4 linked regions of the Tribolium castaneum genome follow. The protein of the gene in region 1 purifies or fractionates together with the protein of each later gene. This does not show direct contact. Links are inferred from orthologs where the notes say so. Each region holds a gene or a part of one and is shown on either strand. Other genes may lie near its edges.

Region 1 (6,162 bases):
AGAATCATGTGTTCCAGCCAGCCAGAAGTTGTTTAATAAACGTTGTAGGTTGCCTTTTAAGTGTATAATAGGTCCACACCAGAGCTGGAGATGTATTACATAGTATTTTTGATGGCAAAAAAATCCCGACTTACCAAATTTTAGCCTTCAAAAGGTCTAAACTTAAATGTTTTTGAGATTACTTTAGGAGTAGATAACACCAACAAACGAATTCAAATAAGAATAAAAAGAGAAAACCACGAACACAACACGTAGCAGAATAATTCAAATTGGATATTGAAACATTTAAAATTGAAAAAACTTTTTGACATCGTTGAATGCAGTGTGACATTGCTCGCCAAAGGTTGCTTAATATTTTGGATTTTTGGATAAATTCGTGGATTTAATTTGAAATCACACTACCAAAAGATGGCATAAGTAGTTTCTATTAACGACCGTGCCACGTACCCCAAATTTACAGAAATCTGCATAGATAACGCACGTGGCGCCGCATGTTGATAGTATGATTTAATAAACCATTTCTCCTATGCCGCTTGACTAACCCTGGTCGTGGGTCAGGATTCAGTTATTTGATTTACTTTAATTTTAGACACAATCGTTGAAAATAAACATAATGTCAGACGAATTACATTTTACTTATAACATTTAATAAATATCAAGACAATCAAGACTTACCTGTTAATCGATGCACAACACGCTCACGACGCTCACACGCTGCTACAAGGTGTCAACTGTCAACCACAGAACAAGGGTTAGTTCAAACCGCTGCCAACGGTCGCACGCAAAAACCCTAACCCGGTCCCAAATCCGGGGAAATGAAAATTTCCGGGAAAAACAACCGGAACTTGGCAACAATAAATCAAGTGACGTTTCGTACTTGTCTTTTTTTCCAAAACAAATGTCATAGTCACAATGCGAGAAAATAAGTGCTAAAGATCGGTTCGTTTTCTCATAAGATGGAAAATCCTCTAACCAAAAGTGAGGAGAAGAAGTTCGGGTACCCCAAAGTACGAGATTCGGACGTTAAAAATGAAAAACCCAAAGTCGAAGTTAGGCGCTTGCAGTACGACCCTAACCCTAAGGTCGGGGACTGGAAAAAGACGTGCTCGCCCAGCTGTTGCCCCTCGTTATCGGGCGAAGAACGCCTGGTTTGTATAATTTGATTCGATTTTGGGACCAATTTTCAAAAACGCAACTTGGCCACACTGTAGGGCGGCGTTGCCGGGTTGTGCCCTGGCGCACTTTCCGCAAGTTTATCGAACAGCTGGTAGGATTACGTAATTTGCGATAATATCCAACAAATGTGCTTTGTTGTCCCGATTAGGGAAAAAAATCAGTGATAAGTGGTACAGGGACTTGGAAATAGGCACCAAGTGGGGTCGCTGATGTGGCAATGCCATCTAGGTATATTGTATCAGAATGGCACAAACTACGTAAATTTGTATTACAAGAAAACAAAATAACTTGTTTTTAGATGTTCACACCTTTAATAAATTTTTTTGGTAAAGTTGTCTTTTTCGCCTATTTTTTCTGTGATGTCCGAAAAGGGGTGATCAGGTAATAATCCGTTTTGACCTGATAAGATGCGGTGCCGAATTTCTAGGACTCGAACACGTAAAGAGAGGGTGCCCGGTATTTGGGGATTCAATAGTGCCCAATTTATGCACGCCTGTTATCATAACTCGCCTGTTTTGGTAATAATATTGTCCGATTTTGGGAAATAGAAAATAAAGATGCAATAAATGATAATTTACTGGACACCCTTCACAGAATTCTTGTGAAAAACATTTTAACAAAACACATGGGCGGTTTATGGTTTATGGTTTACGGTCCTTTTAAGCAAACGCCGCCTGATGCGCAAAATAGCTTTAAACCGTTTGTTGTCGGTGGAGAAAAGGAGAGCTAGGGATCATAAACTAAATGAGGGGTACGTACATTTCGTTCATGAAAAATTATTTAAAATTGGAACTCGTAGTAAACGATTCTACCGAAAATTCTTTTCACTTATCACACAGTTGTGTAATTATAATTAATGAAAACAGTGATAGTACCAAGTTGATTGTAGTCTGACTGTTCATGTAAAGCTCTAATAAATTGAGTATAAATGATAATCTGTTAGCAGGCCCGGTAATTCAGCCTGATTTATTTCCGATTTTAATTCAATTTCGGATATATTTTTTAACATTGTTCCGACAACTAAAAGGCCATAATTTTATTTTTGAAAAATGTCTTTTTTATTGTTGAATTGGTGGTCAAAAGGGCATTGTGTGACAAAACCGATTTCGGGGTGAAATGGGGCGATAGTGCATTTGCGGAGCTATAAATATTGAAATTAGGTGAAAAAGTGGGAAAAATTAAGAAGCAATTTGTGGTAAATAATTGAGTTTTTCGCTATTAGCAAAGTGACTTTCTTAAAATGTCATTTTTAAGAGGGTGTTTAGTGTTTTTTCGGATTTTTATTTTATTAAACGGTTTCAAAGCTGACAACCAAACATACATCTACGCAAATTGAAACGTATTTTGCTAGTGTGAAACTGGCTTCATGTTCGGGTTTCTTCGGAATTTCGAGGAGCTGGTTTGGGGAGCTGTCTTCACACAAATTTGTTTTGGGTTTTTCGTGTTGGAGTGTTGGCAGTTGAAAAACCGTTGACTTACGAAGTGACAATTCAAATTCGAACTTATCACAAGTTGAAATTGTGCAAAAGTGTTAAGTCGGAGTGAAGTGTTTTTGTTGTAAATATGTCCCAAAGGAAGGCCCCCGTGTGCCAAAACAAGGAGAACAACGTTCCGCGCGCCGCGGCGAAAAAGGGCCCCCCGGCGCAAAAGGGGGCTCTCTCCGAGAACAAGGCCCAGAAGGGGGCTGCAAGTGACACGGCTCAGGAGAGTTCGAAGGGGCGGCGTTGGACCTTGGCGGACTTCGATATCGGGAAGCCCCTCGGGCGTGGTAAATTCGGAAACGTGTACTTAGCTCGCGAAAAACAGTCGAAATTTGTCGTTGCGCTTAAAGTGCTGTTCAAAAGTGCGATCAAAGACTTCAATAACGAGCACCAAGTGCGGAGGGAAATCGAGATTCAGTCGCACTTGAGACACAACAATATTCTGCGAATGTATGGCTATTTTCACGACGAGTCGAGGGTCTACATAATACTGGAATACGCCCCCAATGGTAAGCCCCCACGTACAGTGGTCCAAACTGCTCAAAACCCGCCAGAAATTGGTGAAATCATTAAATTTCATGTGTTTTATTAACAAAAAAACACATTTAAATTGGGGCTCAATAAACAATGAATGAAAAACAAGAGTTATTCGGAAAAATCTTCTAAAAGAAGAGCCTTCTGAAAGTTGCAAACTAAGCATTTTTGAATGATTTCAGTAAATGGTTGAGAAAGATTTATAAAATTTGTGGGTTAGTTATTACATTAAGTTAAATGGGGAACAAAGTTACTACTAAAAGCTGTCTTAACTAAAATAAAACCATTAACTACTATTTTAAAAAAACGTCTTGAGGTCAATACATTGGATACGGAAAAGTGGCTGACTATTATAAACTAAATAAAAACAATTTAAAACAATAAAATTTGTTTTTTCCATTCCCAAAAAAAAATATTTTCAATGTTGAAAAATCTGGAATGACGAGAGTAAGCTTTGAATTATCAGTGTTAAGAAGACTTTAAACTAAAATTTTTAATTTATGGTGCACTGAATTTGAAGGCAAAAAAATGTTGGTTTTTGTTACCAAATTAAATGAAAATGTATTTTCACTGTTTATTTGTTATGTCAGTAAAACTATTTCGCATTGTTTTGTAATATTATATTATATGAAAGTAGATTTAATTTTTATACTTTTTTTTACGAAATTTATTTTGATAAAACTTTGTAAATCGGTAAAAAAAGTCATGTCATATATACGAGAAATTATTATATTGAAAGTTATTACTAAAGTTCGGATTCCTAGCATTTTGCTAATTAAGCTTTTCTTTTTCAAATGAACCAATTTTCTTAACTTTTATTTGTCAGTTTGGCTAAAAAACTATGCTTTTATGCCAAAAAGCGTTTTTTCTGCTATTTTTATGCTAAGGTTGATAATTCTCAAGTTTTTTCAGTGTTAATATTATATAATAGTTTTAATTTTTCAAACTAATGAACATTTTGAGACGTCTTGGCGAAAAGTTTGACGAATGAAATTCAACAAAGTTGAAAACAGAATTTTTAAAAAATCGTCCTCGAATTTTTTTTGTACTAACAATTTTTTTAATAAAGGTTTGTTTTTGTAAAATATTTGATAAATAAATTTTATTTTGAATAGCACTGAAGTTTTCTTTAAAAAATGAATTAAAAAACTAGTTTTCTCCATTCATTCGAATCAATATTTTCATTGATAAAAAATCTATGGAATGACAACAGAAACACCTAAGCTCGACGTTTTTGTGATTTTATAAAAAAAACAAAAAAAATGGTTTAGACTACAAAGTTGAATGAAAAATTTATATTTATGAGTTTTTTGACATATTATTTATTTGTTGTATTTAAATGTGTAATATTGTGTATAAAAGCAGATTCATTTTTCACTTTTTTATTACTAAATCTATTTTTGTTAGCTATATATTGTTATTATTCTTACTATTATTTTGGGTTTGAAAAAAATCAAGGTGGCTGCGCTATTTAGAATTTAAATAGTCTGTTTTTTGGCATTTATCAAAATCTAACGAAAAAAGGGACCTTTTAACACAAATATTTTTTTTCAATTAAAATTAAAATTTCGAGTTTTTAGTTAAAAAAAAGTGAAAAAGAACATTTTTTTGACCTAATTTTTTCTGGTCGAAGACGTGCTTCATGTTTTCCTAAAAACGAAGAATTTTAAATTTGTTGATAAAAAACTAATTAAAATTAAATAATGTTCATTTTTTTAATTGTCCGCCAGTTAAAGCGAATTCACAACAAAAAAATAAAAAATTAATCGTTAAAAAAAATAAAAAAATTACGTGATTTTAAACATACAGAATTTTAGACAAAAAGGTAAATTTTTACCATAGAAACGTGATTAAAAAATTACCATCTTTTTTGTTTTTTGTAAGTTTGAGCGCATAGAACATGCTTAAACATTCAAAAGAACTCAAGAATAATGTAGTTTTCAACATAAATACCTGTGGGTGATTTTCTAGCCAGTTTGAACAAAATATCGCTAAAAAAATTACGTTGTCTTCCAATTTTTTTGAAGAAAAACATCGCGGTATTTTTGTTCCAATACAGTTTTTTTAGGAATTTTTTGCATCGTTGTTTTAGAAATCAATTAATTAAATTAAAAGAACATTTCGGGGGTGTTTTCCCCACTTTGGACCACTGTGCCCCCACTTTCCACCTTGATAACCCCCCTGTTTAGGCACATGCTACAAGGCGCTGCAAGCAGCCCCCAACAGGCGCTTCCCGGAGGAGACATGCGCCCGCTACATCCGCCAAATTGCGGACGCTCTCAGTTACTGCCACACGAAGAAAGTCATTCACAGAGACATAAAACCGGAGAACTTGCTACTTTGTGCCCAAGGCCAAATCAAAATCGCTGATTTTGGGTGGTCTGTACACGCCCCCTCCTCCCGTAGGACTACTCTCTGTGGCACCCTTGATTACCTCCCGCCTGAAATGGTCGTGGGGCAAACACACAACGAAAAAGTGGATTTGTGGAGTTTGGGCGTTTTGTGTTTTGAATTTCTGACAGGGAAGCCCCCATTTGAAGCGCCCACGTTCGAGGAGACGTACCGGAATATCAGCAAGGCCTACTACAAGTTTCCGCCGTATGTCTCCGAGGGGGCGCAAGATTTGATTAGGAAATTGCTTGTAGTTAATCCAAATGAAAGGCTTGAGCTGAGTCAAGTGATGAAACATCCGTGGATTGTCTCGCACACAGAGGAGAAGAGTAGTCAATAATTGTGATTTTTATTTAAGATTAGACTAAACACTGTTTTGTGTTTTTTTCTAGACTGTTTTTTGCCATTTTATGTGTACATTTATTCTTTCATTTGGGTTAGTTTTTAATTATTATTATTTTAAATATAAGTTGAGAATGTTCATAAAACTAAATTATTTATTTGTTTACCTAAATCCGTAACAAATTTTACCGTTTTTTGGCACTAATCGCCGATGAAGTCTGTTTTGTTGGGTCGTATT
Region 2 (5,896 bases), about 580 kb from region 1:
TTTAATTGAAATTTAAAAACTAAACAAAACGAATGAAAAACGAACAATTACTAAAAACATTAATTTTTTAACGCCCATGACAAGTGTTGAAATTAGTATTTATTTAGCTGCAAGTTATTAACCCACCACAATATTGTCAACTGAAAGTCCTACTTCTCTACGATTTTTAGTTTTTCTGTAATTAATTTAAAAAAGCGTATTTCCGTCAAAAAATCAAATTATTTCAAAATATATTAGTTTGTATTGTTTGAAACACCCTGTATATTTGAGAATAATTTTAGGTCAGTCAAGGTGTTGGTATTACGGTTTTTGGAAAAAATATATTTTTCAATAAATTATTTAAAGGTCAGTTATGGACTTTTTCAACTCGGTAGGATATCTTCCTTCTGGATAATGTTAGAAAATTATTTTTTTGCAAAAGATACGTCAGTTAATGTAGTTTCAAACGTACATACATACACAAGCTCGAGTTTTGGCAAAATAAAATTTTGAAAATTAAATTTTTCTTGTAAATTGTCGTGAAATTTTAGAAATGCGAGATTTTTTTATTTCAGAAGAAGAAAATTATGAAAAACTATCCAAAAATATTGAACTATTTTAAATAAATAAATGATTGATTTATTAACCAACAGGCCTGCCTAAGCCCAAATAAAGGTTAATGTTCAGTGAATATACATCAAGTTACGAAAATACAGTAAATTTAATTTCAAGTACAACACCTTTAATACTGAACAAAAACGCTTTATTTTTATGAAAACCTACGTAAGATGATCAGAGAAATTGATTAGCATTGAAAAAACAGTAAAATTTTTGATAGTTTTCAACTTATCAACGAATAAATCCTGTATTATAGAATTTAAAAGTTACAATAAAATATACTACTATAAACTTTATAATAGACTTACTTCTCTGTTCAAATCATTGTGGTAAGATTGGTAAACTTAATCATTATTTTCATTAAAAACCATTTAATTGTTAAGTTAAAGTTAATAGTGATGCCATTTTTTGTTTAACTAATTTTATCGATGTTTTTGAAGTTGTTTGAATTTGCTGTTTAATTAATTTTGTTATCAAATCCCTTGAAAATACATGTACAGGGTGTCTCACGAGGGACACGGATTAAGCAAAAAAAAAGATCTGTATTTTTTATTTTTTTAAACGTTTTTTGTGGTATTATAAGCCTCCAAAAGTTACCCAAAAATTCATATTTTTATCTTTAAAAATACTTTTTTTTATAAAGTTTTTTCCAAAAACTATTTAATCATTTATATCAGAAATTATTTCGGCTTTGGTATTTCTAGAATTCTACATTAACTGTAGAAATAATGAACTTTCTGACTTTATCCAGAAGAAAGATCCGATATAAACCCAAAATTTGCCCAATTTCAAAGTTTCAAACTTGTGATTTGAATTCATCTGAAAATTTCCTATAAGAAATGAGCGTTTTTTTGAAGTGCTTGCCCCCCGACTAGTTGGAGTTGTTTTGTTATTAACATTCCATCAAGTTTTTTACAACTTTGTTTAAAAACACGAATTTGACTGAGGTTTTTAAACTTAAGCTTAACTCTTGTTGTTTTCATAAAGAGTTTTTCAATCTAGTCAATTTGTTTCGTTTTTACTTTTCAGGGAGTGTATGTTAACATTTAACACGATGCTCGTCACAAATTAACTCTCGCTTGTAGATAGTAGGTTTGAGTTACGACACATTTGGAGTAATAAATGTATTTATTGTAACATTCCTGTACCTATTTGTTGTAAATACAAGCAAAAATAACACCCGGACTTTCATTCCCAAAAGTGAGATTATGGACATTGGTGGCCAGTTTTTGGGCAATTTTGACAAAAAAAAGTGCGTTTTGGCTCACCTGAGACTGCCTTCTGTCCCCTTGGTGCGTTTTTTCTTAAATTATTTTCAAAATTTGAAAAATGTACACAACTGCGCCCAATTCACTGCGCAACTATTTTACCGATTTTTGCTCGGAAGAATCATAAGTCCGAAAATATTTAAACAATTGTGTTTTTTTTTAAATTTGTTTGCCCTCCAGGTAAATACTTATACCAAATAATTTAATAATTGAGTCAAGTGGTACAAAATTAATAAAAGAACAGGCAAAAATGTGGTTTCGAACAAATCGCCACACGGTTAGTTAGCGTCTTCGGTCATGGGCACTTTCCGCCGCATTGTAAACCCACACGTCAACACAATTTTTTGACATTTCTCTTATTTAAACGAAAATTAATTTCTTTTGTATAAAACATGTCTCAGTGTTGACTTTGCACACCTCCACAGTCCGCCGTCTCCCCAATTCACCCACTGCCCCAAAATGGCAAGTCCCCGAACCCGCCGCGTTTTGCAAGAACTCAAGCCCCACAACGAGAACGATGTAAGTAAAATGGGGTCATTTCCGGCCTTTGGCCTTCTGGGCCCCCCTTTCTAACCCGTTGTCTTGGCAGAAATGCTTCGAATGCGGCACGCACAACCCCCAGTGGGTCTCCGTCACCTACGGCATATGGATCTGTCTCGAGTGCTCCGGCAAGCACCGGGGGCTGGGGGTGCACTTGTCTTTCGTCCGCTCGGTCACGATGGACAAGTGGAAGGACATAGAGTTGGAGAAAATGAAAGTGGGGGGCAACCGGAACGCGCGAGTTTTTTTCGAAGCGCAGGACGATTGGGACGATCATATGAGCATCCAGCAGAAGTACAACACGAAAGCGGCCGCTCTTTACCGAGACAAGATCGCGGCTTTGGCTCAGGGGAAGGCCTGGGATGAGAAATCGTCACCGGCTCAGAACTACACAGGGAGTTTGATTAGCAACACTAGTAGTTATAATAACACAAGGTGCGTTAAAATGATTTGCAACCACAGAATGTATCAAATATATTTCAGAAAAGGTGAATAATTAATTTTCTTTACAAAAGATTTTCTGAAATATATTTCATATTTTCTGAAATACAAATTGAAAAAATGCCGCTTGGGAGTTTGATTAGCAACACTAGTAGTTATAATAATACAAGGTGCTTTAAAATGATTTGCATCTACACCTTTTCCAATTGTTATTCAGAATAAAAAAATATAAAAAATAAAAAAAAATTAATAAAAGTTATCACCTTTACAAATCGGTCATTTTTTAAAGTGTCTCAAAATCAAATAAAACCGATTCTATCTTATAGATTTTGATGTGCTCTTTCCGATCTAAAAAAGCGTTTTCTCCTAGCTCTTTTAGTTTGGCCGTAATCGGCGTTTGAAAATTGAAAATTTTTTTGCGAGATATCGCCTTGAGTCCTGTGCCATTTTGTAGAGTTTTGTATTCCGGTTGTCCTCCATTTTTCCGTTTCTCGATATCTTTAATAGTTTCGCCGTATTTGGCGGTTGAAAATTGAAAAAAAGTGAAAATGGAAACCTTTTTTTGCGTTTTTCTTGGAAACTGTAAGACTTAAAGCAACGAACAAAAATCCATCTGATAGCGCTTATTTTTCTCTATTTTTTCGTCCAAACTCGGAGCCGCTCCGGGCAACGGTTCCTGCTACAGAGGCGATCAATGTTTTTCACTAAAATAATTCATAAAAAAAAATTAAAAGTCGTAGAACAATGCGGTTTGTTCGATTGAATTCTACGGCCCATTTTACATAATATATCAATTTTTCACAAGAATAAAAAATTTAAAATTATTTGCCTAAATTTAGCGTAGCGGTATTTATGGTGAACAGTTTTATTCAACAAAAAAATTCATAACTCGAAAACTAAAAGTCGTAGAGCAATGCGGTTTGTTCTATTGAATTCTGCGGCTCATTTTCTGTATTATACCAGCTTTTCACGAGATTTAAAATTTTCAATTTTTTTGCTAAAATTTCCTGAGCAAAATACAAGTACCTTCAAAGAGGTGAAAAAAATTTTTTTTAAACTCACTCCAGTAAATTTTTATGGACTTCTACATGTCTTAACAATCCACAAAAGTTGTTAAAAGTCCACAAAAAGTCCATATGTTCGAATTTTTGATGTTTGATTTTTCAATTTTTGTCGCGAATTTTGTCGATTTCCGGTACCCTGATCATTTATCAAGCAATAACGTCGGAACTATTATAGATAACTCTATGATGTGTACTATTTTTGGAAAGCTCTTTTAATGATCTATCATTTGCAAAAAAGATTATTGTTGTCCGACTTATAGTTTTCGAGAAAATGCAAATAAAAGCAAAAATTAGATCATGTAATCAAAAATTCATAACTAAAAAACTATTGGGAATTTGGCGCTTTTTTTGATTCCAATCGATTCCTCGGATCATTTTGCATAGGTATGAATCAAAATAGTTCCACTTTTTAGAATAGTTTAGCCGTAAATGAGAAAATAAAAAAAATTAAAAAAAAGTTAACACCCCGGGGCCCCCCTTAGAAATCGGTCAATTTTTGAAGTGTCCTAAAATCAAATAAAACCGATTCTATCTTATAGATTTTGATGTGCTCTTTCCTATCTAAAAAAGCGTTTTCTCCTAGCTCTTTTAGTTTGGCCGTAATCGGCGTTTGAAAATTGAAAATTTTTTTGCGAAATATCGCCTTGAGTCCTATGCCATTTTGTAGAGTTTTTTATTCCGGGTGTCCTCCATTTTTTTGTTTCTCGATAACTCTAATAGTTTCGCCGTAATTGGCGGTTGAAAATTGAAAAAAATGGAAAATGGAAACCTTTTTTCGCGTTTTTCTCGGAAACTGTAAGACTTAGAGCAACGAACAAAAATCCATCTGATAGCGCTTATTTTTCTCTATTTTTTCGTCCAAACCCGGTGCCGCTCCGGGCAACGGTTCCGGCTACAGAGGCGATCAAAGTTTTTCACTAAAAAAATTTATAAAAAAAAAACTAAAAGTCGTAGAGCAATGCGGTTTGTCCCATTGAATTCTACGACTCATTTTACATAATATATCAATTTTTCACAAGAATAAAAAATTTAAAATTTTTTGCCTAAATTTAGCGTAGCGGTATTTATGGTGAACAGTTTAATTCAACAAAAAAATTCATAACTCGAAAACTAAAAGTCGTAGAGCAATGCGGTTTGTTCCATTGAATTCAGCGGCTCATTTTCTGTATTATACCAGCTTTTCTCGAGATTTAAAATTTTCAATTTTTTTGCTAATATTTTCTGAGTAATACACACTTACCTTCAAAGAGGTGAAAAAAAATTTTTTTTAAACTCACTCCAGTAAATTTTTATGGACTTCTACATGTTTTAACAACCCTCAAAAGTTGTTAAAAGCTCACAAAAAGTCCATATATTCGATTTTTTGATGTTTGATTTTTTCAATTTTCGTCGCAAATTTTGTCGATTTTGGGTACCCGGAACATTTCTCGAGCAATAGTTCCGGAACTATTAGAGATAACCCTATGATGTGTACTATCTTTGGAAAGCTCTTTTAATGATCTATCATTTACAAAAAAGATTATTGTTGTCCGACTTATAGTTTTCGAGAAAATGCAAATAAAAGCAAAAATTAGATCATGTACACAAAAATTCATAACTAAAAAACTATTGGGAATTTGGCGCTTTTTTAGATTCCAATCGATTCCTCGGATCATTTTGCATAGGTATGAATCAAAATAAATCCACTTTTTAGAATAGTTTAGCCGTAAATGAGAAAATAAAAAAAAATGTAAAAAGTTAACAAAGTTAAGTCGTAGAGCAATGCGGTTTGTTCAATTGAATTCTACGGCTCATTTTACATAATACATATACCGAAAATTATTTTTAAATCAGTTCAGGAATTACTGTTAAAAAAAAATAAAAACAATAAAAAAACGGTTTTACTGTTTTAGTTTTAACAATATTAATAAAAATCATATATTATTAACACACCTTGTAGTAGCAATTCGTATTCGAACGCCTCCACGTACCAGAACTCCGAGTCGT
Region 3 (5,113 bases), on another chromosome or scaffold:
ATATTTAAACAAGAAATGTATTTTTTTTTTAATTTATTTGTACATAGTTCTTTTGGAGGAAATATTTCTGTTTTAATTTATATAGTTTAAAATTGTTTGTTAAGTTTTTTGATGTTTTTTAGAATTCTCTATTTAGGTTATTTCAGAATTTACTTTTAAGTTTCTTATTTGCGCTCGAGTGTGTCAGTGCACTGCATGTACCTCCTCGTGGTCGTAGCGCGGGCAACTGTTTGCTGACAGACAAGGTAAAAGTCATTGCAAAGAAGGCCTTATTTTGTTTTAAGTCTGGAGCAGACAGGCAAAACATGCCAACACTGACTGATTCAATTTTTTGATAATTTTTGTATAATTAAGAAATAATACAATACTTTAATTTTTTGAAAAATTTAATTTGTTATGTTACTCAAGTGTGCAATAAAAATGTTAACAAAATCTGTGTTTTATTACCCCAAAACAACTTTTTTTGTAAGTTTCATTGCAAATTTTGTTTAAAATAAATATAAAATGTTTTCATTTCGTTTAAAATGAAAATATTTTTTTTTATTTTAAACAATTTGCAATAAAACTTGTAAGATAAAAATAATAAAAAACAGAATATAAAAGGAATTTATTCAAACGTGGCGCTTTACCGTGGTAGTAACGCACTTCAGCACCAGAGGCGCTGTATTCTCGTGTTGCCAGTGATTTACTAGGGAATTATCACTTCTTAACCTTTACTGTTCTGTGATTTTACAAGCTCCGCGTTTTCACAACATATCAAGAGAAAATGGCTTTATCACCTCGTGAGTCAGGCAAACTCGTTGCTTCGCTTAGCAAAAACGTGAAAATCAAAGACGAAGGTGTGAAAAAACTGGGGGATTTGGTAAGTCCGTGCGTATCAGGCGAAAAAAGGCACATTTTAACTGTTATCTCCAGTTGGTTAGCGAGATCGAAAGCGGGAAATTGTCCAGTGAGAAGTTCAGTCAAGTGAAACTGCACCCAAAATCCGACGATCCCAAAGCCCTTGACTGGTTATTTGTCGTGGACACTCTGAATTTTTGCTTCTGGCACTTAGAAACCGAAGCTGGCTGGACTGTGGAGGGCTACACTGGTTATTTTGCCCTTTGTGCGGCTATTAATCGAGCCGTGAAGGAAAAAGTGGATATTTTGAACTCGAAATACTACTCTGAAGTGTCCGAAAAAGACCTTGCGAAAATATTCAGAAGCGACAACGATGTCCCAATTCCACTCCTCCAGGAACGCGTCAAATGCTTGCACGAAGTTGGGAACGTCCTTCTTGAAACTTTCGACGGTTCGTTTGAAAATTGCGTGAAAAAGGCTGACAAGAGCGCTGTGGCCCTTCTGGACCTAATCGTCAACAATTTCAAGTGCTTCAAGGACGAAGCGACTTACAAAGACAAGAAAATTGCGATTTACAAGCGGGCGCAGATTTTAATTGGCGACATTTGGGCCTGTTTCAAGAACGAAGGACTTGGGCACTTTAAAGATATCGATGAAATAACAATGTTTGCGGATTATAGAATCCCACAATCTCTCCTATATTTCGGGGTGTTTGAGTACAGCGAAGATTTGAAGAAGAAACTGCAAGACAACAAAATTCTCGAAAACGGGGAAGAGGACGAAGTGGAGATCAGAGCTTGCTCCATCCATGCGGTCGAGCTGCTAAAAGAACATGCCAATAAAAAACTAACTGATACGAAAATCAATGCCATTTTGATCGATCACTTCTTGTGGGACTTCAGACGCGAACATAACAAGGAAATCGTGGAGAAGAAGTTGCCGTTCCACAAAACGTTCTCCATTTATTACTAAATCGAACGACAATATCAAGTTAAAATTGGAGTTGACCGAATCAATGTGCTAATTTATTAGTAATTAATCGAAAATTTCAGGGAGCGGTTGGCCATGAAACTTTGATATGGCATTTTGGTGGTAGTCATGGTTACAATTGTTACAAACCGAACCGTACTTTTTCATTGCCAACTATGCTGTCATGTTTTATTTCATATCAGTAATTTTTAAGATTAATCGTGTCAATGTTTTTAAAGTTAAAGTATTAGATTATGATTGAAAGAATATTCTGGAATTTTATTTGCCCTCGTCTCCCTACCCATGATCCTCTGCCGACGTTTCGCGAAAGCCAGCCAGAGGGCGGAGGAGCAGCAAAGTGACGTTTGTTGTTTATTTCAAAAGTGCAAGTGTTTTATTGTTGTATTTTCTTGGAGGAATCAAAATTCGCATTGGCGTCATGGTCGATTACAGCAAGTGGAAGAATATTGAGGTAGTGAAGTCTGGGAGGAAAAAATGAGGTTAGGTGGTGCTTTGCAGATTTCCGACGATGAGGATGAGACGCATCCAAATATTGACACCCCTTCACTTTTCCGGTGGAGGCACCAGGCCAGAGTTGAGCGCATGGAAGAAATGAAGAAAGAAGCGGAAGAAATCCAGATAAAGAGGGAGGAAAATGCTAAGAAGGTCTCGCAAGCCAAGCAGAAGCTGGCGGAAGCCGAGAAGGCCGGAGATGCGAATTTGAGGGAACTTAAGGACGCTCTGGCCGCGCTGGAGAAGGAAATGGAAGCGATTAAGAAGAAACAGGAAGAACACGAGAAGAAAGAAAAAGTTTGTACGAATGTTAGTTCTTCTAATGTTTATTTAGTGATTTACAGATGGCCCCGTGGAATGTGGACACAATTAGTCAGCCAGGTTTTGCAAAGACTGTTATTAATAAGAAAGCTCCGAGACCGAAGGACGAACAATTAACGGATGAAGAGAAGGAAAGTCGCATGAAAAATTTTGTAAAAGAAAACGAGAAGAATTTGAAGCACTTTGGAATGTTGCGACGTTATGAAGACTCTCGGGCTTTTCTCAGGGACCACCTTGAATTGGTTTGCGAAGACACAGCTAATTACCTCGTCATCTGGTGCATCAATTTAGAAATGGAAGAGGTAAGATTGTGGCAAAAAATGTATATTGGCAACACTGAGTTGTTGGGGTAAATTATGTATTGTTCTTTTAATTAGAAACATGACCTTATGGAGCACGTGGCGCACCAGACCATCTGCATGCAGTACATCCTAGAACTAGCCAAACAATTAGACTACGACCCTCGCGGCTGCGTGGACCCCTTTTTCTCCAAAATCCAAATAGCTGATCCTCTTTACAAAAAATCGTTTGACGATGAATTAGACCAGTTTAAGGAGAGGATCAGACGACGCGCAGCTGAGAAGATTGAAGAGGCCATAAAAGAAGCAGAGGAGGAGGAGAGGAAAGCGAGGATAGGGCCAGGAGGGTTAGATCAGCTTGAAGTCTTGGAAAGTCTTCCCGAGAATTTACGAAAATGTTTCGAGACGCAAGACATCCAAATGTTGCAAGACACAATCAAGGAAATGGATGAAGAAGAGGCCAACTATCACATGAAGAGGTGTGTTGCTGCGGGTCTTTGGATACCTGATGCCAAAAAGAAGGAAGAAGAAGAAGCTGGGCCTTCTGATGAGCAGTCAAAACCCTAAAGTCACTTGCTTTACAATTTTTGTTATTTAGCCTTTATTTCCTAAGAATGCAAATTTATTGTATTAATTTATTAGGAATGCTTGAAGATTAATAAATTTCTTTACTTTATAAACTTGACGTAAACTTTCTTATACCCATCCCAATTCCCGCATTTTCTCTCACTGACTTAAATTAATCATCCACTTGAAAAAAATAATAGCCAAACGAATTTACAGTTTCAGTGGCAGATATAACAATCAACGTTATTTAAAAAAAATATTTGGTAAAACCCGTTCTTTTGAAAAAGCGTAGTTACTTTTGTTCACCGATGTTGGTGTATTTTCGCGTTTCCCATATTTCGTGTTCTGACGCATCACTTGACGTGTCGCAACAACAAGACACGACAACACCACATAAAAAATTGAAAATTTAACCAGTCAGTTAAGATTATGGCCCCAAAAGAAAGCAAAGAAAAGGATGATAAGGTACAGTTTAAATGAATGAACACGTAATTTGCACGCTTGTTATTTAAATACGGAAAAAATTGTAAATTTGGCTTCATAACCTATTGTTGCAGCCTGTTAAAATAAATAAATGGGACGGTTCAGCTGTGAAAAATGCCATAGACGATGCAGTAAAAGAAGTGAGGTCCCGTGACTCCCTGTTCATTGTTATAATAGTATTTTTTAGGTACTTACTAAAAAGTATCATTACGTAGAAAATTTTAAATTGATGGATGGGCGCCTTGTAATTTGTAGTATTGCAGTAGGAGTTGCCATGTTTGCTTTACTGTGGGATTATTTATATCCCTTTCCACTTTCTAAGTAAGAGTCTCAAATAATCCACCCCTCTGTATAAATACTTGCGTTTTTTCAGACCTATATTAATATTTTGTGTGGGCACTTATTTCACAATGATGGGCATTCTAACGTTGTACACCATGTATGTAGAAAAGGGTATTTTCGCTGTATGTATGCAGAAGAAGGACGGTCAGAAAAGCGATAACATATGGGAAGCCAGCTCATATTTAAAAAAGTGGGTCCCAAAGATAAAACCACAGTAATTTATTATTTATTTTAGATACGATGATAAATATAAACTGGTTCTCACGTTTAAAGATGGTAAAACTGGGGCTTTCCGGGAGACAAGCTTAAAGAAAAGTGTTGCAAATTTTGTGGACGTCAACGGTAGTGTAGTGCACGAAATTGTGGAAAATGAGGTTTCAAAGCTGCACAATTCTCTGTTGAATGAACGTAAAGATAAATAGCTCTCGAGATTGTCATGTCAGCAAGGCATTTATTGCATAATTCCACTTGAGTTGTAAATTTCTCTAATACATTACTTTTTTAGTACAATGATTATTTTATTTTTGTTCATAAACGCCTTTCTACGCACAAAACAAAAACTGTTTGCGATTTATCGGAAACGCACAGCCAAAAAATTTTCAACATAACTGTATCGATTTCTATTGAAAAAATAAAAATTATGGAGGTAAAAATCGTGTTTCTGTTCCCATTGAAAAATTCCACAAAAATCTAAACCTTCCTCCCAAGACAATAAAAAAGAGGACATGACTACAGTAGAACCTCGTTTATCCGCGTAGCAGTGCACAAGACAATTTTAT
Region 4 (6,093 bases), on another chromosome or scaffold:
GATTGAAAAGGGTTAGGTACTTTTGTAAACGTAAAACACTAGTAAACGTGTAATTTAAAAATTCCCTAATTTTGCAAATTTGATTCTCCGTTACAATTAACTGTGAACACAATTGTAAATCAACACTTACTTCACCCGATCTTGTGAAAATTGGAAAGGCACTTATCTGAAATTTAGAAATTAGACCAAACTTAATCAAGAGACGAGTCGCACCTTTGGTATTTCTTTGGAGGTCAGTATTCCAAACCCTTGAGGAGAGTCCTCCGGAGGGTATATTTTCCGCCCCCTGGTGTTTTGTTCTTCGGGCAAAGGGCAGGTCAGTTTCATTACGATTTTGTAAAAGTAAGTCGGTTGGCCAATAATTGGGTGACAGTCAAGTAGAGCATCGGCAACTTTTTTATAGTAATACTGCCGCCGTTTCGTAGTTCCCGGTCTCGGGTCTAGATTTTCTTCATCTGATTCTTCAAGCGCCGAGCTATTCCAGTCTTCTTCGTTCACTTTGAAATTCTCTTTGCCTATTGGTTGCAGATTATCGTCTAATTCCCCCGCTTTGTGTAGGAGTTGGCAAATCATAAAAGCTGCAGCTCTGCGTGCCAGTAAAGTATTAATCATTGGAGGGCTTGTCACCGTTTTCTTCACCGGAGAATTGATAGGTAACCGAATGGAACAAATATAACCATTCTCGACCTTCTCCTCATGCCAAATTGGCGTCAAGCGGGTGAACGTATCGCTGGGCAATTTTGCACAATACCGGTTGACTAAAGCTATAGCATTCGAGAGACTAACTGAGTTAGCCCCCGGTTCGGCCGACGGCTGATACGGTCTACATTGCAGAGACGAAGCATCAGCAACCAGCTCCTCATTCTTATCAGGTTCCAAACTGTAACACCTCTTCAATAGCGTATTCTCAACTTCGTTGTACTCGGCTAAATTCTCAACAAAATCGCTAACTTCGTTCTCGTTCGCTAGCAAAAGAAAATGAGCTTCGTTTGCGCGCGCTCGCGCTTTACTATGAATGTAGCTATGGAACGACTGAGGTAAATCGAAACGTATCACTAAATTACATTTAGGAAGATCACAGCCTTGTTCTAACGCCGACGTTGCTATCATTATATTGCATTCGTGACTTCTGTACTTCCGCAAAACTTCCTCCTGCCTTTTATGCTCGGATTCCGCCTCCCGAGGCTCGCGCACCGGATCTGCGATCTTATTCACGGAGAACGAAACCGACACCCACCAATACTCCTCGTCGCTCTTTGACATCACCTGACACAATGCAAACAATCAGCGGGCAAACCATCAATTTCTAAGGCTGAGGGGACCAGCTTAGTATCGCAAGATTTTGCCCAAAGAATAGAAGCTCGAGTTCAAACCATGAAGTCAAGCAGATAAATATAAACAAAAATAGCATTAGACTATTAAAGATAAACTAGACTTGCGTTGCTTCTTCTTTTCAAAAGAAAAGAATTTCTTAGCAAAAGTGAGAGAAGTAAATGCTTCACGTTTAAAGGAAAAATAAAATCACTTCAAACTTATGCAGTTCTCTAAATACTCTAGTGTTTTTTGTAAATATATCCACTTGAGCTTGGCAACTAAATATATAAACGCTAAGAAATTTAACACCAAAATTGACTATCATTAACAAGAAAAAAAAACATTACTCACTGCTGAAATTCTCAATTCTCAAAAACGAGTAATAAATAACCAAGAGATCTTTCACAAAGACTGTCTCAAAAGTACGCTTAAATTTGCTAATGGTATGATACATGTTTGTAAACGGTGTGGGTTTGAGTTCATGAACACCATCAAATATATTTTGCAAAAACATTTATTACCACCGACTGAAAAATTATACAAAAAAATTATGCTTCTTGTCACACAGCAAAACATTTGAAATACCTAATGATTCGGTAATTCTCACATTAATGTTATGTCTTGGTCAGCAAACAGGCCTGATTTAAATATGTCTTGTGTCTTTTTGGCACAAAATGAAAAATTATCTTAAAAATCTTCCACAGTGGTGAAAGATTTAAAAAATAAAATAGAACACATTTGCAACAAAAAACGCTAAAATTCTGTGACAGATCATTAAAAGTATGCCAGTGGGAAGTCGTGACCTCATTAAACCCCCAAAAAAAATAAATCACGAACTACTAGAAAGTTTTTCCTTTTTTTAGTCCAAACAATTAGTTGTCAGATATTTTTCCTGTTTTAATTTTGTGTTAAACATCAAGGGCTTTAAAGTAGTTTTTAAACAGATCATAAGTTACAAAATAAACGTACTTCTTCAATTTATGATTTTAGTGTTAGTTCTGTGGCAAAACCTTGCGACAGGCAGCATTAAAACACGATGGCACTTTAGGGCAACCCCTTAGCCTTACAGGAACACGTCTGCTTTACTTACACACAGTAGGGCGAAGAGGGCCTCCGCCTTGTAGCGATTTTTGACGAAAACGAGTGCGCAGAGCATCTCGTCGCTTTGCGCGCGCGAGATGTACGGCCTTCGGGGCCCTTTGTAGTTTTTCCCTTTTCCCTTCTTGGGGTCTTTGAGGTCTGGTAGTTTGTCGCAAGTTTCCGGCTTATCACCGGTCGGTTTAAACTGCTTTAGAACTTGGAGAAATCTGAGTACTTTCGGCGTTGAGAAACGAAACACCTTTTCCTTATCTGTGTAGTCTTGGAATTCGAGTTCGCAGAGAGCCCTTATCGAAACTAATACTGATGAAGCAACGCATAACAATAAATAATGTCTTTCGTAAGGAACTTTGACTTTGAGCTTCTCGATCTTGATAAGCATGCCATAGGCGGCTCTGTCGGCCGACCAGGGCCCCAAATCGTCCAGAATTTCGAGGAAGTCGTCGAAGAAGCTCAAAGGCTGTTCCTTGGGGTCTGGGACTTGCTTGAATTCCTCGAGCAAGTCATCGTCGTAGATTTCGCTCGGATCGTAGCGGTGGTCCTTGAGGAAATCCTGACAGGAGGTTATAGTGGCCTTGATTTTGTCCTGCAAAGGGCTTGGAATGGGTTTAAAGCACTCGACTATGCGTTCGCGCGGCCGACAAGATAAGCGTATCAGCGTGAGAATTTCACTAGAAGTGTCTACCGAGGAACTAAGTAATTTTTCTAAGCGTTGTAATTCGGCTTCTAGACGATCGGGTTGCATCTCGGAGCCCAAAAGACCGGCAGTCAGGCCCAAAATTCGAGGTCTGGGCGCTTGAATCGCCTGATACCGGGCCATAATTTCCCTAACTAACGACTGTTGCCCCCCGTATAAGCAGTCTATCACGATTAGAGCGTAACTGTCCAAATGAACGAAGTTCTTCTTACATAGAAGCACACAGACTTCGGCTGTGGTCACAATCACATTGCTTGCCTTCAACGACGGGGGGTTTTCCTCTTTATCTATGCTCGTAACGGTCAGATCGGTCAGCAGCTTCACGTGCGACGTCATTATCGGGACGTTCGGGCCGTCCAGCACGAATAAAGCCTGCTTTCCGTGGGGCACCCGCATCTTGTGGGAGAACTCTTGCAGCAGTTTTATTGTTATAAACGCTTTCGCCGAACTCGCACTCGAACATACGATTGTATTACGCTTCTTAGCGCTGTCCAGCAGCTCCACTTGATACTCTCGTGGGGTAAACGTGTGCGTGTAAACATTTTCGTTTAAATAACAAGCCATGTAGGGGTGCTGTACACAACGGAGGACTTATCTAAGCATTTTTCGTTGCTATTATTGCTGATTATGATTGAACTAACTTAGAGACGTCTCACCACCAACGGGATACATCTTTTCTCACTTGGAATATACAAATTATCACAAAAATACCAGTTTAGATTCAAACAACACCACACAGACCGAGCGGGTTTTGACAGTTGACAGCGTTTTGACAATCACTCCAAAAAAATTGAATGTCGGTGAAGAGCATGGTTCAAAAATGGTGCTGGCACCATCAATATTACAGTCGACCAGACAATTTATTTCCCCACCATTCTCGTTTTCTGCAGCCAATTCACACCAGAAAATTTATCAAAATAATCGTAAATCATTATAAAAACATCAATAAGCTGTTACGCTGACTTGCATATCACATTTGTAGAAAATCTCCTGACCATTATAATGTGTTTCTATTACAAATTAAAACTTAACTGTATTTAATTTCTGCATTTTTTATTCTCATATTCAAGCAATGCAAACTGATTTTTTTTCACCCCCTTTATATTCTGCAATTTTCTTTATCTTTGTAAAAGAAGAGTCCTTCGATAGGGCCTTCGACTGTAAAAATGGATTTTTAAAGATTCTTAAAGATTTTCCGATGTCGCAAACTTTTTTTTTCATCTACTTTATATTATGTAATTTTCCTTATTTTTACAGGAGATTATTTTGCAGGAGACTGTAAAAAAATCATGTTCGGACAAACACCCTTGGGACCTTAACAATTTTTTTTAATTTTTATAAAGTTCCTCTATTTTGCAAACTTTATTTTCTTCACCCACTTTATATCCTGCAATTTTCTTTATTTTTGCAGGAAATTAAGCTCTTCGATAGGGCCTTCGACTGTAAAAAAATCATAAAGTACCCCTTGGAACTTTAATGAATTTTTAAAGATTCTTTAAAATTTCCCGATTTCGCAAACTTTATCTTTAAAAATTCATTACAGTGTTCAGAATGGCCCCCAAAAGGCGAATCAATTATTACAGGAAAGGAGGGAAATAGTAAAAATAATGAATACTTTTGCAAAATGCTTTTATAGAAAAGTTGTTGTACTTATATTTTATTATGTGGTAATGAGTGATAAACACTTTTTTTGGTAGATAGAAAGCGTGCCTAACTGCTTAAATAAGCTTTTTAGCACACTCGTATTTTGAAGTTCTCGAATTTCAAAAAATAAAAGTGTTTTTTCTGCGGCTTGACTTTGCTTTAATTCTGTGTCTTCAAAGTAGAATTCTTAGATGGGGAAACTATGTACATTTTTTTTTCTTGATCCGTTAATGTGTAGAATAGTCGAAATATGTTTAGTCGTCAGCAATGAATCTGGCATTTAAAGACACCGTTCACAATTTATTAATGTTTATACACAACTTTATTCAACACATTTTAATTGCTATTAGAAATGATTTTTTTTTTATTTGACAGTTTTTTATTGCTATGAGTTCTCATAGAGTAAGGCACTAGTTTCCTAAGAAGAGCCATGCTTGTGCCAAATCACAATTGACTGCAAAGTCGATACTAATATGTGGAAAAATAAAAAAAAAACGAAATGGTTAATAAAACACAGATAAAAATTAACTATATTTATTTGGAAATGAAACCGGGGCCACTTTATTTATTTAAATAAAAAAGTACAAAGGGTCGCTTAGATCTTGTTGAAGGCCGCAATATCCACACTCTGGACGTAGTCTTCAATTGCTGTGATTTCGTCCTGTAGCCAGTCAATTGAAATTTTCTCGTCTTCAACAACACACGAGATTTGCAATTTGTGGATGCCGTAAGCCAAAGGGACCAGTTTGGCGGCCCCCCAGAGGAGGCCGTCCGATGAAATCTTCCTGACTTGGTTTTCGAGCTCTTTCATGTCGGTTTCGTCATCCCAGGGCTTCACGTCGAGGATCACGTTCGATTTTGCGATTAAAGCCGGCTCTGGAAATCAACAACCAATTTAGTTTTTTTATGAGGCGTCAAAACTATGTTACTTTTAGCCAATCAGCAAACGGCGCGCCAAAACGTCAGCGAGAATGCACTTTTAAATTTCATACGTATTTATATTTATATGCATGTTTGTATGCGAATTTTAATATACTGTACAAGGTTATTACAAAAATATGTTGTCACACTTTAGGGGGTTATTGCGACAGAAAATGTTTGCCTATCAACCCCTATTCTGAAATCAGTCGTTTTTTCCCTGAAGTCAGTTTTGTTGAAATACGTGTACTATCTTGTTCATATTAAAAGATTTCGATATTTATTAACTCAAAATATCTAATATAGTTTTTGAGTTAGAGGTAACTTTATTTTAAAAATTTTTAGTCATAGTACGTAGTGGTCTTTAATTTTAAGCCAGTTTAATTTAAACAAGAATTCTACCCCACTTTTAGCGTAAGAGG

The links.
Region 2: the proteins of aurA (region 1) and ArfGAP1 purify together in Homo sapiens (affinity purification with mass spectrometry; 3 studies listed by BioGRID and IntAct, counting the BioPlex papers as one, with this or other methods). This does not show direct contact. The link is inferred for Tribolium castaneum from reciprocal best matches to the Homo sapiens genes AURKA and ARFGAP1.
Region 3: the proteins of aurA (region 1) and Cdc37 purify together in Homo sapiens (affinity purification with mass spectrometry; 3 studies listed by BioGRID and IntAct, with this or other methods). This does not show direct contact. The link is inferred for Tribolium castaneum from reciprocal best matches to the Homo sapiens genes AURKA and CDC37.
Region 4: the proteins of aurA (region 1) and Dcr-1 purify together in Homo sapiens (affinity purification with mass spectrometry; 4 studies listed by BioGRID and IntAct, counting the BioPlex papers as one, with this or other methods). This does not show direct contact. The link is inferred for Tribolium castaneum from reciprocal best matches to the Homo sapiens genes AURKA and DICER1.

Annotation. Positions count from the first base shown.
Region 1 is NC_087394.1:2,111,124-2,117,285, forward strand, and holds aurA (aurora kinase A), read left to right. Parts: upstream 1-2,654; 5' UTR 2,655-2,739; coding exon 2,740-3,166; intron 3,167-5,380; coding exon 5,381-5,922; 3' UTR 5,923-6,048; downstream 6,049-6,162. Other genes in the region: mitochondrial inner membrane protein OXA1L, read right to left, coding at 6,110-6,162. UniProt on the Homo sapiens protein: Mitotic serine/threonine kinase that contributes to the regulation of cell cycle progression.
Region 2 is NC_087394.1:1,533,531-1,539,426, forward strand, and holds the start of ArfGAP1 (ADP-ribosylation factor GTPase-activating protein 1), read left to right. Parts: upstream 1-2,178; 5' UTR 2,179-2,324; coding exon 2,325-2,384; intron 2,385-2,454; coding exon 2,455-2,840; intron 2,841-5,849; coding exon 5,850-5,896. UniProt on the Homo sapiens protein: GTPase-activating protein (GAP) for the ADP ribosylation factor 1 (ARF1). Involved in membrane trafficking and /or vesicle transport.
Region 3 is NC_087398.1:2,272,092-2,277,204, forward strand, and holds Cdc37 (hsp90 co-chaperone Cdc37), read left to right. Parts: upstream 1-2,121; 5' UTR 2,122-2,248; coding exon 2,249-2,281; intron 2,282-2,328; coding exon 2,329-2,619; intron 2,620-2,666; coding exon 2,667-2,945; intron 2,946-3,020; coding exon 3,021-3,509; 3' UTR 3,510-3,622; downstream 3,623-5,113. Other genes in the region: queuosine 5'-phosphate N-glycosylase/hydrolase, read left to right, coding at 767-862, 916-1,812; Spase25 (signal peptidase complex subunit 2), read left to right, coding at 3,939-3,974, 4,067-4,132, 4,180-4,313, 4,366-4,524, 4,570-4,756. UniProt on the Homo sapiens protein: Co-chaperone that binds to numerous kinases and promotes their interaction with the Hsp90 complex, resulting in stabilization and promotion of their activity. Inhibits HSP90AA1 ATPase activity.
Region 4 is NC_087403.1:8,546,360-8,552,452, forward strand, and holds the start of Dcr-1 (endoribonuclease Dcr-1), read right to left. Parts: upstream 3,890-6,093; 5' UTR 3,766-3,889; intron 3,705-3,765; 5' UTR 3,674-3,704; coding exon 2,405-3,673; intron 1,267-2,404; coding exon 214-1,266; intron 167-213; coding exon 1-166. Other genes in the region: probable elongation factor 1-delta, read right to left, coding at 5,349-5,629. UniProt on the Homo sapiens protein: Double-stranded RNA (dsRNA) endoribonuclease playing a central role in short dsRNA-mediated post-transcriptional gene silencing.